2 linked regions of the Canis lupus familiaris genome follow. The protein of the gene in region 2 interacts with the protein of the main gene of each other region in a pairwise test. Links are inferred from orthologs where the notes say so. Each region holds a gene or a part of one and is shown on either strand. Other genes may lie near its edges.

The links.
Region 1: the proteins of ERCC6L2 (region 2) and CYREN interact in binary tests that used the Homo sapiens proteins (3 or more experiments, as listed by UniProt). The two-hybrid records come from large-scale screens. The link is inferred for Canis lupus familiaris from reciprocal best matches to the Homo sapiens genes ERCC6L2 and CYREN.

The regions. Positions count from the first base shown.
Region 1 is NC_049237.1:12,653,896-12,658,368, reverse strand, and holds the start of CYREN (cell cycle regulator of non-homologous end joining), read right to left. Parts: upstream 2,907-4,473; 5' UTR 2,750-2,906; intron 2,255-2,749; exon of another isoform or gene 2,081-2,254; 5' UTR 1,953-2,080; coding exon 1,846-1,952; intron 1,085-1,845; coding exon 1,009-1,084; intron 497-1,008; coding exon 374-496; intron 144-373; coding exon 1-143. UniProt on the Homo sapiens protein: Cell-cycle-specific regulator of classical non-homologous end joining (NHEJ) of DNA double-strand break (DSB) repair, which can act both as an activator or inhibitor of NHEJ, depending on the cell cycle phase.
Region 2 is NC_049222.1:71,449,386-71,453,192, forward strand, and holds part of ERCC6L2 (DNA excision repair protein ERCC-6-like 2), read right to left. Parts: intron 3,623-3,807; coding exon 3,415-3,622; intron 336-3,414; exon of another isoform or gene 99-335; coding exon 1-98. UniProt on the Homo sapiens protein: Promotes double-strand break (DSB) end-joining and facilitates programmed recombination by controlling how DNA ends are joined in a spatially oriented manner during repair.

The sequences.
Region 1 (4,473 bases), on a different chromosome or scaffold from region 2:
GTAGGGGCCTCCTTCCCATTGTCCTCATCCTCACTTCTACTCCCAGGGGAACTCGGGGCCCACGCTAAGCGGGCTGGGAACAGCTCTGGCTTATCAGCACCAGCCGGAGTCACTGACTCCCAGGGCTCTTCCTGTTTCCGGGCCTGTGGAGTAGAAGAGACAACAGGGAAAACAGACATTGTGTTGTTTCCCGAAGGAACGTGCGGGTTTATCCATCGTCGGCGAAGCAGAGCGTGTGCAGAAGCCACTGTGAAGCCAGCGTGTGACCAGGTCAAGTGACCAGGTCAAGCGGCGCTCCTAAATCAGAGCCTCCCCATCCCCTCCCCTCCCCGCCCCTGAGGAATACCAGGGTGGAAAAGAACACTAGGAAAACCATATCTGGAAATGCAGGGGTGACAGGAAGGAGCACAGGACACAAAACTTGAGTGCGGGCCTTGGCTCTGTCACTTGCTGGCTGTGTCACTATGGGAAAAGGCCTGGGCCTCAATTCCTTTATCTGTAAAATGGGGATAATATCTGAAATAACCATCGCCAGGTGACAGCAAGGATTCAGTGAGCCAATATATACAGAAGTACCCAGTCAACATACACACAATGCTACGGTGATACAACCCCTATTTGCTTCAGGAGCCAGAAGACCTGGGTGGGGGCATTCGGATAAGGAGTCACCTCACCCAACTGAGACCCCGCCAAGAACATAAGCATCTAAAGGCTCCCCATCGCCTCCAGCTACCAGCCCAGTCACGCCAGGGACAGCTGCCCTCCCTCCCACGGCCACTCCCGCCCCAGGTGTCCCGCCCAAACACTGAGTCACATCTCACACAGGGAGAGGCCAAGGGGAGTGGGACCGTGAGAGATGTGCTAGACACGGGACAGGTGGAAGACATGGGATGACAGGGGACGGGGTTCCCCGAGGCCACCTGAGAACGCAGGGCGTCTCTTTTGGTGCCATTAACCGAGGGCCCAGCGCAGTTTCTGATCATGACTAAGAGCCACAGTGGACTTTACCTCAATCAGGATCCCCAGAGCAACGTCTACCATCTCAGCCTCGCTCATGCAGTACGCAGTCCTCATTGCAGGCAGTCTGAAAGGAAGGCATGGTGCTCAGATGGGGACAGGCGGGTCTCAGGTCTCACAAGGGGGAAGAGAAGGAGAGCAAGAGTCCCAGCCCGGGGCCCTCCCACCTGCCGCCACTGGAACAGGGCATGAAGGCCGCTCCTTGGAGTCCCTGCCCCCACACAACGGACTCCAGCGGGTCAGATGACAGGTTATCAGGCCGAGTCATGACCAAAACCCACCTGCACCCGTGGCCACTATAAAGCAGGACCCAGAAGGTCTGAAGGGAGGTGGGTCAGTAAGAAGAGCCAGGGAGGGGAGCACTGAGTGCCGGGCCTAGGAGGATGCAGGGACGCTCCCTCCCTGGTGGCCTGAGGACTCCCCCAAACCACCATCATTCAGCTGATTTCATGCTGCTCCAGCGACTGCTGCTCATCTGTTCCTGATCTTCCTGCAGGCAGACTGGCCCCTGGTCCACTGAACTTGACCACTTAATGGTCAGGTCACAATGCTTGTTGCAAATGAAGACACCGGCACCTTGGACAACTGGTGTCTGAGAGTTTGGCTACTGTGCATTAGCCAGAAGGGGAGCGCTGCCTGGGAGCTGACACCTGAGGCCTGGCCGGGGAGCTGCACCAGCACCCTGCGGAGGCAGCTGGGGCCTGGGACCCTGGAACACCCACCACCTCCTGCTCCCCCAGCACCGGAAGGTTCAGCCCCAGCAAGTGTGATGCCCACAAAACCTCCCTCCTCCTGTTTCCCCAGGTCCCCAACCAGAAGTTGCCCCACCTTGCTGCAGCAGCTCCCTGCACTGCCCTCTTTGGCTTGGGGGTCTCCTGGGTTGTCATCCATGCGGGAAGGACCCTCTTCTTATCCCCGGATTTTACAGCTTCCATTTCTCTTTTCTTTCCTGAAGTCAGAGCCCAGGCTTAACGACTTGCTTTTCTAAATCAGGACAGCAAACCCCATTCTCATCACACCAGGAATTCCAGGTTTGTCCTGCATGGGAGTCATACCTTAATTCCTACAAAGAACAAAGTTTAGTGAATTCTAGTAAGTCAGAGTACTCCCAGCCATCAACTGTAATTACTGGTCAGGACAGGCCAGAGGTTAGCTGGGCAAAGAGCAGGGCCCAGATGCTGGCTGTACCCGGGGTGCCCAGCCTGCCCCACCCTTAAAGTATCTTCCATCCTCTCTCCCTCACCTCCCCAACTCCAGACCCGTCATTTCCTCGGACCTTGGTGCAGTTACAGGGAACCCCAGGACCACTTTAATTCACCCACACTCCCTTAATCCAAAAGATTCATCTGACAGGCCAGATTCTAGCCGGCAGCAGGGATGGGGAGGAGGACAGGGATCCGGGAGAGGGGCAGGGATGGGGGAGGGGCAAAAGGGATGGGGGAGGGGTGGCAGGGACCAGAGGGGGCGGGGACAGGGGCAGGGCGGCGGGGAGGAGGAGGGAGGAGGGCCGGGGAAGGGGGTGGGGCCTGGGGAGGCCTGGCGTGGCCTCGGGGCACCCCCAAGCCCGGCCCCCCCGCCCCGCCCAGACTCAGTCCCCGCCCTGGGCTCTCGAGGTCCGAGGTCCGAGGCTCGCCCTCCCCCCGCAGCCCAGGGCTCCGCCCAGGACCTCACTGGGGCAGAGGTCAGCCGAGACAGGCCGGGAGCCCTCTCCCAGTCGTCGTTTATCGCTCACCTGGAAGGCGGGGTACCCCGTCAGGGGCTGCGAAGTGCGCAAGGTCGCAAGGAGGTTGGGCGCAGCCAGCGGGGCCCCGCAGCCGCTCACTCGGCCTCACCCCGGCCTCACCCCGCCGGTCAGCGGCCGCCGCCCCGCCCGGGCTCCAGGGGCAGAGGCGGAGCGAGCCCGGCCCCGATCCCCGCGGACCCGCGCCGCCCGCCGAGCCGGAGCCGGGAGCGGAGGGGACGCGCGGGCACGGGCACCTCCACCTCCACCTCCACCTCCACCTCCACCGGGCGGCGGGCGGGCGGAGGGGGGGGAGGAGGGGGGTGCAGGGCCAGGCTCGGGGGACCGCGCGCTCCTCGGGCTCGGCCTCCCCGCCTCCGGGCTTCCGGGGCCTCCGGGCTTCCGGGCGGCGGGGACCCGGCCGGCCCTGCGCGCGCCCCCGCCCCACCCCCACCCCCACCCCGCCGCCCCCCGCGCGCCCCACTTCCGGCCCCCCTGCGCCCGCGCGGGGACCCGCTCGCCGCCCGCAGGCAGCCGCCCCCCCTGCCCCGGGCTCCCTGCGTCTCGGGCGGACCCTACTCGGGGCCCCTCTGAGCTCCCCGCTGGGCCGGGCCCTGGGGCTCCCCCGCCCCTCTGGGCCCCGGCGCAGCAGCGAGCGTCCAGCCGCGGACCCGGACCCCAGCCCCCAATCCCGAGCGCCCTCACACCTGGGCGGCTCTAACTCCCCGCCTTCCAGGGCGCGCGTGGTCACCCAGGTGGCCTTCAGCAGGCCTCCCAGAGCAGAGTGGAACCAGGGCCGCCCCCCCCCCCCCCCTTGACCAGGCAACCCCCTTCTCCCTGCTGCGTTCACAGTGAAGCCCCATGGCTCTCCCCGACCAGGAACCTAGGGTATCTGACCCTGAAAAGAGCCTGCCTTGATGTTTTCAACAAGTGTCAAGAATAATGTTCTATTTAGTGGAATATTTTTTACAGTCCCCAAACATGGCTTCATTTGAGGTTTGCCAGCCAGACTTTACTGGAGTGTCAACTCCTGGGCCGCCCCCACCGAGTCGGAAATTAGGGTGAGAGGAGGAGGGTCTGCATTTTAAAAGGAAAAAAAAAAAACCTTGGGATTCCCACAAGGACCAAGTCTGACTCTCCTTGCTGGGGGTACACATCCCAGGGGGAGAGGGCCCAGGGTAAGCCCCTTGGGTGCAGTAAAAGAAACGAAAGCCTCTGCTTAGACTTGCTATCTTAAAAGTAGTTGCCACTAACACAACATTCAGATCGGCGCAGGTGTTCCCTCGGCGGCTCCACAAAGCTCCCCAGGCGTCCTTGGTGCTTTGCCGTCAAGTTTAGCCTGACGCCGGGACCTGCAGTGGACACGTGGAGCTCGCATCCAGTTTAAGACGCACACTCAGCTTAGAGCAGGCTAAGGGGCCAGCAAAGGAGCCCCAGGGCAAGGCCGTGACAAGACATGCGAGCACAAGCCGTCACAGGTCAACCTTCCCCTGCTGCACTTGGAGGTGAAAGTATGATCAGAACCGACCGTCCAGCCCCCAAATGTGAGACCAGCCCCTTGAAATGTGATTTCTAACACATCAGCCACAGGAATAATGACCCTCCAGCGGCTGGAGGCGCACAACAGGGGGGCTTGCAGACCCTGACCAGATGCTCTCCTCCCACTGTATGTGCAGCACTTTCACCCACTGGGCCGGGAAGGTTTAGCCCAGTCGAGGCTTCACGAGATCAATGGT
Region 2 (3,807 bases):
CAAGGTTCAGAAGACTGAAGTATCAAAGTCACATCTTTGGTTTCTAATACTGTTTGATAGACAGCTTTCTGAAAATCTGTCAGAGAACAATACACCATCTGCCAAGATGAAACACTAAGTAATTATTGGTACTTTTTTATAGCAGTAATAATCACAATGCACATCAGATTTTATAGACTATAAAAGTGAAAACTGCTTATAAACTATTTTTCTTTTAGATGCATTAATATGACAATTTCTCCCACCCTAATCTAAACCCTATAAATGATAACTTTATTTTCAAATCTCATAGAGTTTGTTTTTCAATTGAAAGGAATTAAAATATGAAAAAACAAGTGGTTTCCTTATATATTTCTGAATACATTCTGGGTCTTTTCAGGATTTCATACTATTAGCCCATCATGCAAATAAGTGACTATAGTTTAGGTCAAATAAAAAACTAGATAAGAAGGGGTGCCTGGGTGGCTCAGTCAGTCAGGCATCTGCCTTTGGCTCAGGTCCTGGGATGGAGTTCTGAATTGGACTCCCTACTCACTGGGGAGCTTGCTGTCTTCTGCTCCTCTCCCCTACTTGCTCTCTCTGTCTCTCTCAAATAGATAAAAATCTCTAAAAAAAAAAAAATAGTAGGAAAAGAGAAAAGGGAAACTTTAGAACAATGGTATGAATAATACTTACTGAACTACTTGAAAACTTAGAAAAAAATTTAAAACTTTATATTACTATTTGTAACAATTTGTATTTGATTTCCTGCTATAAATTCCTAAGGTTAGTAAAGGTTAAGAACTTAATACACATAAAAGCAACTACAAGTTTCTGTTTTATGCCAAAATTCAAAAAAAGAAAATTTGATATAATCATGCCACTAAGCTACGTAGGATGTAATTTACCTTATATTTCTAGTAGCACTGGAAATTGGTAAAAGTCCTCTAGATGTAGCTGTATGTAACGAGGGTCATAAAACACATAGTAAGAGTTAAAAAATGTGAATACAAGGGAAAAGCCATCTATTTATGAATGTTTATATGTTTAAATCACTACAAAATATTGCAAAAAGAAAAAATTCTGCTCATTGTTTCTTTGGGTGTTACAGAAACTTTTTACTTTGATGTAGTCTCACTTTTTTTAAAAAAAGAATTTATTTATTTTAGAAAGAGAGACAGAAAGAGAGCAGGAATCACAGGGGCAGAGGAGAGGGAAAGAGAAACTTTAGCAGACTCCACACTGAGTGTTAAGCCCGACTCAGGGCTTGATCTTACCATTCCAAGATCACGACCTGAGCTGAAACCAAGAGTTGGACACCTAATCAACTGCACACCACCCAGGCACCCCATAGTCTTATATTTTATTTTTGCTTTTGTTGCTTATAGTTTTGATATCATATTTAAAAAATCATCACCAAGACCAGCATCAAGGAGCTTTTTCCCTGTTTTCTTCTAGGAGTTTTATAAGATTTTGTCTTGTGTGTTAATCTTTAATCCATTTCCAGTTAATTTTTGTGAGTGGTGTTAAGACAGAAGTTCAATTGCATTCTTTGCATATGAATATTCAATTTTCCCACCACCACTTATTGAAAAGAGTATCTTCCTTTCTTACTCACTGAGTATTCCTGACTCCCTTGTCAAATATTATATTTGACTGTATGTATATGCATGGGTTTATTTCTATTCTACTCCTCCGATCTATGTGTCTGTTTTTATGCCAGTACCATTCTGTTTTGATTACTATAGCCTAGGAACATGCTGTGAAATCAGGAAATGTGATGCCTGCCAACTTTGCTTTTCTTTCTCAAGACTGTTTTGGCTATTTTGGGATCTACTGTGGTTCCATATGACTTTTAGGATTGTTTGTTCTATTCCTATAAAACAATGCCATAGGAATTTTGATAGGGATTGCACTGAATCTATAGATAGCTTTGGGTATTTGACAATATTAATTCTTCCAATCTATGAACATGGGTATGCATCCATTTATTTGTATCTTCTTCAATTTCTTCCATCAGTTTCTTATAGTTTTATATAGGTCTTTCACATCCTTGGTTAAATTTATTCCTAAGTACCTTAAAACACATAGTAACATTTACTAAACACTTTTTACATGCCACACATTTCAGAGCAACCATGTAAGGCACTGTCATCATCATTCCTATTTAACTGACAAAGAAACCAAGGTTTGGAAGACAGCAAATTGCTCAAAGTCACAAAACTCCTAAGTAGGGGAGCCAGGATTCAAGCTTATATTATTTCATCTCAGAGCCCATGGTCTAAACACTCTATGCACAAGTCTCTCTTCATATATTTATAGTTATTCCTCCTATTGGATAGACAACTAAATAATATACATAAAATTGCACAAAATATTTTTAAAAGTGGGGATTCATTAAGTATTTCAATTAAATAGTAGTATTTGCTTTAGATCAAAAAGTCAATTTCCCCAACTTGTATATCAGTATATTTGCCTTTCAAATCTGTCTTTTAAAAGTAATAATCAACAGGATATTCTAAGACTAGAGAATATTTGATAGTATTACCCATACTTGGGACAATATTAATTAAGCTTAATTCATAGTAATTTATAGAACCTTTATTCCATTACCTGAGTTAGAAGAACCACAGAATTAAAAACTATGAGAGGACACTACATGTAAAAAAAACTCTTAAGATTTACTCTTCAAGTTTTCTTAAACAATTAATGGAATTTAATTATAACTTTCCTAAACTTTTTCAAATTAAGTTGGTTGTATAAAATAAACAGCATTCTAAAAGAAACAAACCTATAAAACAAACCTTTTAAACACTATAGTCTTGTATCTGTTACAAGGTCTCAAAGAATATACGGGGCTACAAATAGTGCACAATATATGAAGGGCAAAATATGAACAGAAAACAAATTAGGGAGAGAGTTCTTTTTTCATTGAGAAAGAATTACACCAAAAGCCTTCTTATTATAAAATAAGAGAAATGAGTTTTATGTATACTAACAATAAACCTGTCAACTAACCTGTTAGATTGGGCTCAATTAATCCTTTCTGAATTTGCATATAACAACTTTTTCCACACTTAGTAAAAGACAAAAAAAACCCCTATATTCATAAAGTACCACAGGAAATAGATTTCCTCTTTTTTTAATTTTTTAATTTTTTTTTTTATTTATGATAGTCACAGAGAGAGAGAGAGGCAGAGACATAGGCAGAGGGAGAAGCAGGCTCCATGCACCAGGAGCCCGACGTGGGATTCGATCCCGGGTCTCCAGGATTGCGCCCTGGGCCAAAGGCAGGCGCTAAACCGCTACGCCACCCAGGGATCCCCTAGATTTCCTCTTAAAAAGAATTTTTTTTTTCAGAAAAAATAAAACATGATGAAAGATCAATAACTTAAACGATGAGAAATTAATAATTTAAACAAATGCAGTTCTCACCCGGTCTTCCTTCTTAGGCAACTGATCCTTGATTAGAGTCTTGGTACGCCTGAGAAACCATCCAGACATCATCTTTGCAAGCCTTTGCATGGCCTTTCGACCAGTAGCTAGTTCTCTTTTTGTTGCTGTGTGTCTCTGACCATGTTCTACTGGGTCAGAAAACTGCTTCTTGAAGTGGATCCTACTACCTAAAAGTCCTGGCACAGCCCTTTAAAGGCAACAACAACAAAAATATTATGGCTTTATTAAATTATCTAAAAAGAAACACATTGACTTTTTTTGCTTCTAAGAAATATTCTAAGCTACTTGTTCATGAATGATAACAATAACAAAATATAAGAAAAGAGAATGTATAACTACAAAATGACAGAATTAGTAAATAATTCAGATATT